Canis lupus familiaris: one gene and its partners. The protein of the gene in region 2 purifies or fractionates together with the protein of the main gene of each other region. This does not show direct contact. Links are inferred from orthologs where the notes say so. Each region holds a gene or a part of one and is shown on either strand. Other genes may lie near its edges.

Evidence for each region.
Region 1: the proteins of E2F-associated phosphoprotein (region 2) and small nuclear ribonucleoprotein E-like purify together in Homo sapiens (affinity purification with mass spectrometry; 3 studies listed by BioGRID and IntAct, counting the BioPlex papers as one, with this or other methods). This does not show direct contact. The link is inferred for Canis lupus familiaris from reciprocal best matches to the Homo sapiens genes EAPP and SNRPE.
Region 3: the proteins of E2F-associated phosphoprotein (region 2) and TSSC4 purify together in Homo sapiens (affinity purification with mass spectrometry; 3 studies listed by BioGRID and IntAct, counting the BioPlex papers as one, with this or other methods). This does not show direct contact. The link is inferred for Canis lupus familiaris from reciprocal best matches to the Homo sapiens genes EAPP and TSSC4.

Annotation. Positions count from the first base shown.
Region 1 is NC_049222.1:93,813,030-93,815,535, reverse strand, and holds small nuclear ribonucleoprotein E-like, read right to left. Parts: upstream 1,092-2,506; 5' UTR 1,073-1,091; coding exon 794-1,072; 3' UTR 632-793; downstream 1-631. UniProt on the Homo sapiens protein: Plays a role in pre-mRNA splicing as a core component of the spliceosomal U1, U2, U4 and U5 small nuclear ribonucleoproteins (snRNPs), the building blocks of the spliceosome.
Region 2 is NC_049229.1:13,544,162-13,547,814, reverse strand, and holds part of E2F-associated phosphoprotein, read left to right. Parts: intron 1-941; coding exon 942-1,055; intron 1,056-3,653. UniProt on the Homo sapiens protein: May play an important role in the fine-tuning of both major E2F1 activities, the regulation of the cell-cycle and the induction of apoptosis. Promotes S-phase entry, and inhibits p14(ARP) expression.
Region 3 is NC_049239.1:46,929,698-46,933,450, reverse strand, and holds TSSC4 (protein TSSC4), read right to left. Parts: upstream 2,549-3,753; 5' UTR 2,261-2,548; intron 1,535-2,260; 5' UTR 1,431-1,534; intron 1,261-1,430; 5' UTR 1,241-1,260; coding exon 278-1,240; 3' UTR 16-277; downstream 1-15. UniProt on the Homo sapiens protein: Protein associated with the U5 snRNP, during its maturation and its post-splicing recycling and which is required for spliceosomal tri-snRNP complex assembly in the nucleus.

The DNA of each region.
Region 1 (2,506 bases), on a different chromosome or scaffold from region 2:
CTATTAATTAATATGTAATGTATTATTGGTTTCAGAGGTAGAGGTCCATGATGCATCAGCACAATGGACTATTATCCATAAAAAAGAATGAGATCTTGCCATTTGCAATAACGTGGATGGCCCTAGAGGGTATTATGCTGAACGAAACAACTCAGACAGAAAAAGACAAATACTATATGATTTCACTTATGTGTGGAACTAAAAAAACAAAATGAAGGAACAAACAAAACAGAAACAGACTCATAGATACAGAGAACAAACTGGTGGTTGTCAAAGGGGGTTTAGGGGGATGGGCAAAATGGGTAAAAGGGAGTAAGAAGTACAGACTTCTTGTTATGGAATGAATAAGTCAAGGGAATGAAAAGTACAGGGTAGGGAATACAATCAATGATATTGTAATTGGGTTGTGTGGTGGCAGATGGTAGTTACACTTTCGGTAAGTATAGCATAATATGTAGACTTGTCAAATACTATGTTGTACACCTAAAACTACTATAACATTGTGTATCAACTTCAATTAAAACACACACACATGCACGCATGCACGTACACACACACACACACACACACACACACAGATTGTTGGGCCTCATCCCCAGAGTTTCTTTTTTTTTCTTTTTTTTTTTTTTTTAATAAAAACAATCCCACAGCATTTATTGTCCTCTGGTAAGAACATAAAGGTAATCAAAACAATATGAACAAGGGTTTTAGAACTATATTCCCAACAAAGGACATCTAAAAAAACAAACTACGTGGCCTTCTCAAGAATTTCTCACTTCACTGATCATTCATTCTAGTTGGAGACACTTTGGAGCAGGGTAATATTATCTCCTTTTAGCATGATCCGACCCAGTTGTTTTCTTGACTTTGTTTTAGAATGAATCTCTTTGGCATCGTCTAATACAAGGCTCATGTACTCATCAAAACCAATGATACAGCCCTCTATCCGCATGTTTATTTGCTCATAAAGCCACACCTGAATCCGAGATCTATTTTGCAAGTATCTGAAGATGAGGTTGATGGGCTGAACCATCACCTTCTGCACTTTCTGGCCCTGGCCACGGTACGCCATGGTGGAAGCGGACCCCAGAGTTTCTTTAATACATCTGCAACAAGGCCTAAGAATTTACATTTCTTTTTTTTTTTTAGGATTTATTTATTTATTTGTTTATTTGTTTATTTATTTATTTGAGAGAGAGAGAACACATGAGTGGGAGGGAGAGGGAGAAAGAATCTAAAGCAGACTCCCCACTGAGCATGGAGCCCCAACACAGGGCTTACTTAATTTCATGATTGCAAGAACATGACCTGAACCAAAACCAAGAATCAGATGCTCAACTGACTGAGCCACCCAGGTGCCCCAGAATTTATATTTCTAACAACTTCTGAGGTGGTGTCAATGCTTCTGGCTTAAGGATCACTCTTTGAGAAACTTAAGAAACAAACAAAAATGTATGGGATGCCTTCCTGTGTACCTACATACACCTGATTGGAGCTGCAGAATAAGAGAAGAAAGAGAAAGGGGCAGAAAGAATATTTGAAAACATAGTGAGCAGATCTTTCCAAATTTGATGAAATACATAAATCTACACATCCAAGTTATTATAGTCCCTATGTAGAATTGGCTCCTGCAGATGAGAACTCTGTCCTGGCTGACACCTTCATTACAATCTTGTGTGGCCCTGTAGCATAGCACCAAGCTTGGCCATCCCTAAATGCCTGCCCACAGAAACCGTGAGATAATGAGTATGTGTTCAAGCCACTAAGTGTATGGTTATTTGTTACCCAGCTACAGAAAATTAATACACTAGTCTGTCTGGCTCCTGCAGTCTATGCTCCTTGTCCCTTTCCTGATTAGTTAAACATATCATGAAAGGCAGTAACTGAGGAGTTGGTAGAGATTATAGACTTTCAGAGTTCCAAGAAACTCACAGGGCACTAGTCCAGCACCTCTAAGACATGCAGATCCCCTTCCTCAAGGGAACATCTAAGAAAATAGGGATATTGGGGATCCCTGGGTGGCTCAGCAGTTTAGCACCTGCCTTCGGCCCAGGGTGTGATCCTGGAGACCTGGGATCGAGTCCCTCATCAGGCTCCCTGCATGGAGCCTGCTTCTCCCTCAGCCTGTGTCTCTGCCTCTCTCTTCCTGTGTCTCTCATGAATAAATGAATGGAATCTTTTTTTTAATTAATTAATTAATTTATTTATTTATTTATTGGAATCTTTTTTAAAAAAAGAAGAAGATTGGGATATTGAACTATAAGATGGTGATCTGAGTCCCAATAACATTGAGATGATGACTAGGGATAACTACAAGTAGTGCTTTTAAATATTTTTTATGGCTGAGTGAAGTAAGTTAGTCGGAGAAGGACAAACATTATATGTTCTCATTCATGTGGGGAATATAAATAATAGTGAAAGGGAATATAAGGGAAGGGAGAAGAAATGTGTGGGAAATATCAGAAAGGGAGACAGAACATAAAGACTGCTAACTCTGGGAAACGAA
Region 2 (3,653 bases):
AGGAACACAGAGATAAAGTGCCATTTTCATCACATTGTAATTATGGCACATACTGTCAACATGATTTATGATAGTTAATGTTGACCTTGATCATCTTAGCAAGGAATTGTCAGGTTTCTCTACTGTAAAGTTACTCTCCGCCCCTCCTGTCTATACTGTACTCTTTGGAAGGAAGTCATTATGTGCATTATGCTCCACTTCCTTGAGAGGAGAGTATCTTCATAAGTTATTCTTCCATCTGGGACATTTGTCTGTTCTCCCTCCCTCCGTTCTTCCCTCATTCATTTATTCAGTCATTAGTCATTTGTATCAGTATGGACTTGTGAGTATTTATTTATATTTTGTATCCAATACTGCTTTATTTTATTGTTCTAATTGTTTCAGCTTTGGCCAACTCTAATTCTTTGAGTTGGCTTCTGTGCCCCTTGATATATCTACCTCCTTGTTTTTGAGCACTTCCTTACTTCCTGGCACTACAAGATGCTCCAGGTTCATTTCATATGCCTCATTCCTAGAATCAGTCATTTCTCTTAGGAGTACTAGGTTCTTTTACTGGAGGGTGGCATTAGAAATCAGGGTCTCGGGGATGCTTGGCTAGCTCAGTTGGTAGAGCCTCCCTCCCTCCTTCCCTCCCTCTGAGAGGGTGGGGAGGGGTAGAGGGGGAGAGAGAATCTTAAGCAGGTTCCATGCCGAGTGGAGCCTGACTTGGGGCTTGATCTCACAACACTGAGATCATGACCTGAGCTAGAATCAAGAGTTCAATGCTTACCTGACTGAGCCACTCAGGTGCCCCAGAGCATGTGACTCTTAATCTTGGGGTCTTGAGTTCAAGCCCCATTTTAGGTGTGAAGCCTACTTAAAAAAAGAAAATCAAGATCTGGCTTTAAAGTGTGTGTCTACCCCCCCCCCCCCCCCCCCCACATTTTCTTTTTTTATTCCAGCTACCATGGTTTTGGAATACAGAGACCATATCAACAACAGCAGCCTGTTCCAAATAGTGATGCTGTCTTGAATTGCCCTGCCTGCATGACCACACTATGTCTTGATTGCCAAAGGTAATGGATAAAGGGTGTCATAGCACACCACAAACACACATACACACACATGCATACACAAAATGATGAAAAACAACTTGGTTTTTTGTTTAAATCAGAAATAGACTTTTGAGGTATATACTTAGGAATTCTGATAAAGTTCTGTCCTCCTGTGTCCTTGCTGCTACATAACTAATCTTTATACAAATAATTTTAGTTATACATAGTTCTTTTTTTTTTTTTTTTTTAGTTATACATAGTTCTAAGTAGTTTTTCCTTTTTCTTTTTCTTTTCATTTTTTTTTTTTTTTTTTTTTTAAAGATTTTATTTATTTGCTCATGAGAGTCACAGAGAGGCAGAGACACAGGCAGAGGGAGAAGCAGGCTCCATGCAGAGAGCCCGATGTGGGACCAGATCCTGGAACTCCGGGATCAGGACCTGAGCCGAAGGCAGACGCTCAACTACTGAGCCACCCAGGCATCTCATAAGTAGTTTTTCTAATAAAGCACATACTTAAAAGGATTCAGTGAAACTGCATATATATTGTGGAATGATGTAATCTGTCAAATACATTCTTTTTTAAAAAATTGTGATAAAACATAAAATTTACTGTTTTAACCATTGAAAACTTTTTATTAAAGAGTACATCATTTGGGTATTAAATTTATTGTCAACTAGACCATTTAAAAATTTAAAATCATTTCCTAGCTTTATCGAGATATAATTGACACATAACATTATGTAAGTTTGAAGTGTACAACATGATGATTTGATATACAAATATATTGCTAAATGATTACATAAGGTTAATGCATCCATCACCTCATGTATTTTCCTTTTTTTGTTTGTTGAGAACTCTTAAAATTAGTTTTTTTTAGCAACTTCAAGTATATAGTACAAGATTGTTAACTGTAGACATTGTGTTTATTACATCCTCAGACCTTCATCTTATAATTGGAAGTTTGTACCACTTGACAGTCTTCACTTGTCCACCCTTCCCCCACTAACCACCAGTCTACTTTGTTTCTTACTGTTCATTTTTTTTTTTGGATTTATATACAAGTGAGATCATTCAGTAATTTTTTGTCTATGACTTCATTTAGCTTAGTGCCCTCGAGGTTCATTCATGTTTTCACAAATGACAGGATTTTCTTTCTTTTTTTTTGTATTCCATTGTATCTATACACCATGTTTTCTTTATCCATTCACGTAGCATGTACACTTAGTTTCCATGTTTGGCTATTATGAATAAAGCTGCAGTAGGTTTTTGGGGAGAAGACCACAGAGGTAAAGTGTTGTTTTCATTACATTGTATCAAGGGCATGGACTATCAACAACAACAAAAATCAACAGATTTAAAAAATTAAAAAAAAAAAAAAAAAAAAAAAAAAAAAAAGGGATCCCTGGGTGGCGCAGCGGTTTGGCGCCTGCCTTTGGCCCAGGGCGCGATCCTGGAGACCCAGGATCGAATCCCACATCAGGCTCCCAGTGCATGGAGCCTGCTTCTCCCTCTGCCTGTGTCTCTGCCTCTCTCTCTCTCTCTCTGTGACTATCATAAATAAATAAAAATTAAAAAAAAAAAAAAAAAAAAAAACAGATTTATTAACTGTTAATGTTGACCTTGATCACCTGGCTGATGTCGTGGTGCAGATATTTCTTCGAGAGAGTGATTTCATTTCCTTCAGTTATATACCCAGAAGTGGGATTGCTGAATCATATGGTAGTTCTATTTTTAATATTTTGAGGCGCCTCCATACTGTTTTCCATAGTCACTATACCAATTTACATTCCCACCAGTAATGTGCAAGTGTTCACTTTTGTTTTGTCTTTTTGGTAGCCATTCTAACAGGTGTGAGGTAATACCTCACTACAGTTTTTATTTACGTTTCCCTGATGATTAAGGATGATGAACACCTTTTCATGTACCTGCTGGCCATTTGCATATCTTTTTTGGAAAAATGTCTGTTCAGGTTCTTTGCCTTTGCCTTTTTTTTTTCTTTGCTATTGAGTTGTATGAGTTTCTTGGATATTAGCCCCTTGTTAAATACATGATTTGCAAATATTTTCTTCCATTCCGTAGGTTTCTATTTCCTTTTGTTGATGGTTTCTTTGCTATGCTGAAGCTTTTTAGCTTGTTGGTTTTTTTTCTATTTCTGTGAAAAATGCCATTGGAATTTTGATAAAATTGCATTGACAATAGATGACTTTGGATAGTATGGACTTTTTTTCTTTTTTAAGATTTTATTTATTCATGGGAGAGAGAGGCAGAGACATAGAGGGAGAAGCAGGTTCCCTGTAGGGAGCCTGTTGCAGGACTCGATCCCAGGACCCTGGGATCACTTGTGAGCCCTTAGCCGAAGGCAGACACTCAACTGCTGAGCCATCCAGGTGTCTCACTATGGACTAATTGACTATTTATTTTTTAAAAGATTTTATTTATTTATTCTTGAGAGACACAGAGAGAAGCAGAGACATAGACAGAGGGAGAATCAGGTTCCTCACAGGGAGCCCAGTGTGGGGCTCGATCCCCACACCGGGATCATGCCCTGAGCCAAAGTCAGATGCTCAACCACTCAGCCACCCAGGTGTCCCTCATTCATTCATTCATTCATTCATTCA
Region 3 (3,753 bases), on a different chromosome or scaffold from region 2:
CACACACACACAAAGTCTAAGCAACACCCAAAACCTTTACTGTGGCCCCACAGGCATGTGGTGGGCCAGGGTCTTTGCTGTCCACTGGCAAGCTGTCTGCTTCAGAGACCACTATCCCGAGCCCTAGCCCAGGCTGCTGGCGCCTCACACTGGCAGACCGCTGGCTCCCTTTCCAGGGCGGGGGGCCCCAAGCTCCACTCCACTCCAAGTGGCCAGTGACCCCGGCTGCCCTCCTCCACCGCATGGTCAGGAAACGCCAGCCAGGCAGTCTCTTCTCTCAAATCTCTGCACCTGGGGCCTCAGGTGTGTTGTTCTTGTTCCGGAAATGGTCCCTGCTCCGCTTCCTGCTACCATGGAAGCCAACAGTCTCCACCACTGGGGGCCCCACCGCTGACCTAGCATGGGCAGCCCCCTGTGGCACGTCCACTTCCTGTAGCCCCCCGTGGGGGCTGTTCTCTTCCTCAGCCTCTGGGCTCCCAGGCCCTGCCAGGTGGGCCAGCTCCACAGGGCCCTCGCCCCCTGCTGCTCCCAGGTCCCCAGGGGCACCCCTGCCTGACTCTCCTGCCTTCCTCAGGGCCCTCTTCCTCTCAGGCCTGGCCTCGCCAGCTCGGGCCGGTTTGGTGAAGATGACTCTTCCCTCCCCACAGCTGGAGGGATCCTGGTTGAAGGACGGCATGTAGTCTCTGGGGCCAGCCAGGCTCTGGGAGCTCAGGAAGGCCAGGGCGGCAGCCTGATTGCTCTGCTCACTGACCTCGGCTACGTTTTCCAGGCTGTACTTGGTCCAGCGCTCAGGGTGGGCCATGTAGTCAGGGATGGGGGGCAACTTCGTGGGGGCAGGGCTCTGACTGGCCCTGCCCGGGCCCTCTCCTGGACGCTGGTGTGAGGATGCTGGTGGCTGCATGAAATCCCCATGGTCACCCGGGTCTTGCCTGGCTGCGTCCTCCAGGCAGTCAAAGATGTTGCGGCTGCGCCAGGAGAAGGTGGAGCTCGTGCCTCTCAGGTGGAAGGGCTGTACTGAGGCTGTGGGGAGGCCTTTTGGAGGCAAAGGGGTCTCATCGGGGTCTGAGTCCCCCTGGGCCTCCCCAGATAGCACCCCCGGGGGCAGAGCTTCCATCTCAGTACCGCCAGGCAAGCTGAAATCGGAGTCCGAGTCACTGAGAGAGACGGTGTCGGAAGGCAGAGCGTCATCCTCTGTTCCTCGCTCGGCTTCCAGGGGCTCTCCTACCCCTACCTCAGACATGTGTCCCAGGGCCACCACACCTAGACCAGAACAGCCCAAAGAGTTCGTTTCTGAGGATTGCACCCATTTAGGACGGGCCCCTCCTATAAACCCACAGTCCCTGGGCAGGCGGCAGGGCCAGAAGGAAGAGCTATGTCCTACCAAACAAAGGACAGAGATTCCCACACCCGCCCCCCCCTCAACGTCTCACCTCCGTTGTCTGATGAACGTCTGTGCAGACACCAGAATTCTGGTGGGTGAAGTCCCGGCAAAGGCGCCCGGTGGCCTCAGTCCCGGCTCCGCTTAGCTGCTCAACTGTAGCGGGCAGAAGGTGGGAAGGGCAAATCGTCAGGGAGCACCAGGGCAAAGCGGTACCGCGACCCCCAGGGGGCGGTCCTGGGTTTCCGGGGCCCAGGCCCAGGCCGGCCTGGACGCAGACCCTTCGGGAAGATCTTCATTCAGCCCTCTTGAGCTAAGTCTAGGGGCCCGCTGGGGGTTAGGCAGGCAGCAGCCAGGGCCCAGCCCGGGGGCAGCAGCAGGCTCTGCGCTCCACGACGGCGCTCGACCAGGCGGCCCGTCCACGAGCTGCTCGGCACAGCTGCGCCACCTGCCTGGGCAAGGCAAGGGCTGCCCCTGCCTGCCCAGACGCCCCGGGACTCCACGCGGGTCTGCAGCCGGGGCCTCCGCGTCTGACCGTCAGGCCCGCGGGGAAGTGGGGGGTCAGCGGCCGCCCGGGGCATCCTTGCGGGCAGGGCAAGCCCGCGGCTCCGGCAGCAGCCTCTCCTGGCACGTCCCCGCGAGGGAAGGAGCTCCGGAGGGCGGGGCGCCGCCGCGACCTGGGGGGGCGGCCGGGCCGGCGGGCGCCCCGGGGTCGGGCACAGCGCCCCGCGACAGCGAGCGGCCGCGGCGGCTCCCGGGCTTCTCCGCGGAGGCCGGCGGCTCGGCCGGGGCAGGGCTGGGGCGCGCTCGGCCGCCCGTGGAAGCCGGCGCCGGCTGTCTCCGCCCCGGCGGGGGCCTGGCCGCACGCGGGCCGCGGCTCACCAGGCTCGGGGAGCCACCAAAGACGCGAAACACCTCGGGGATGTGGGGCGAGGAGGCTGCGAAAAGGCGACCTCTCTCCCGCGCCACAAGCCTACCGGCTCAAAGCCGCCGGGCCGCCTCCATCTTTCGCCGCGCTCGGCCTCCTGGGAAACCGAGTCTTCCGCCGGCCCGGCGCCTCGGCGTCCGCACCTGAAGAACTACACCTCCCACAAGGCACCGGGACGCTACTCCCGAGGCCTGTCGGGTCCCGTAGCCCCTGCGCATGCGTCCTCGCTTTTCTCCCTAGCCTCCCCCCTCCCCGGAAACGTCGGCTCTCCTTCGCGCAAAGAGCCGGAATTGAGGAGGGAAAGGAGGAGGAGGAAGAGGCAGCACTGCGACTCCCAGAATGCTCCAGGACTAACGGCCAGCGCCGCGTTCCCGGGGCCCCAGCGCCGCCTGCTGGAAGTCGCGAGCACAGCGGCCGCCTCAGGCCGGAAGTGCATCGTCGCACGCGGCATCGTCGCCGGGTGCTTCCGGTCAGGCCGGAAGTGCGGGCCGCCCGCTCGTGGGTCGGGGGAGGGGGAGGGGGAGGGGGTGGGGGGGGGCCGGGTTCCGTCTGAGCGCTCGGCTCGCGGTCCCGACGGCCCGGCCGGTGCTGCCCACCTGACGGCCGGTCTGGCCGCGTCTCTCGGGGCCGCGGTCCTGGAGTGCTCGGGAAGCCCGCGGACCCCTCGTTTCCGGGGCCGCCCAGCATGGCCTGCGGCAGCACCGGGCAGCTAGGTCGGGATGCCCCAGCCCCCCAGCCCCGCCTGCAGCTGCAGTGTGCCGCTGTGCGAGGATGCCCCAGGGACCCCGCCCTCCTGGGGGCCCCCCAGCCCCGCCAGCAGCTGCAGTGTGCAGCTGTGCGAGGGCGCCCCAGGGACCCGCCCTCCTGGGGGCGCCCCAGCCTCACCTGCAGCTGCAGTGTGCCGCTGTGCCAGGGCGCCCCAGGGACCCGCCCTCCTGGGGGCCCCCCAGCCCCGCCTGCAGCTGCAGTGTGCCACTGTGTGAGGATGCCCCAGGGACCTGCCCTCCTGGGGGCCCCCCAGCCCCGCCTGCAGCTGCAGTGTGCTGCTGTGCGAGGGCGCCCCAGGGACCCGCCCTCCTGGGGGCCCCCCAGCCCCACCTGCAGCTGCAGTGTGCTGCTGTGTGAGGATGCCCCAGGGACCTGCCCTCCTGGGGGCCCCCCAGCCCCCCAGCCCCGCCTGCAGCTGCAGTGTGCCGCTGTGCGAGGGCGCCCCAGGGAACCGCCCTCCTGGGGGCGCCCCCAGTCTCGGTCTCCCCAGCACAGACTGGCTGTGCTGTGCCTGCAGGCCAGGATCCCCAGGGTCGTGCAGGGGCAAGTAAGCAGGGCTGCTCCTTGGGCCACTCTGTTCTCTCAGGGACCCACCCTGGCACACAAGGTGGAGGGGTGTGGCAGGAGGGGCAGACCTCACTGAGACCTGATGACCCCAAAAGTAGGGCTGGGGCCAGTT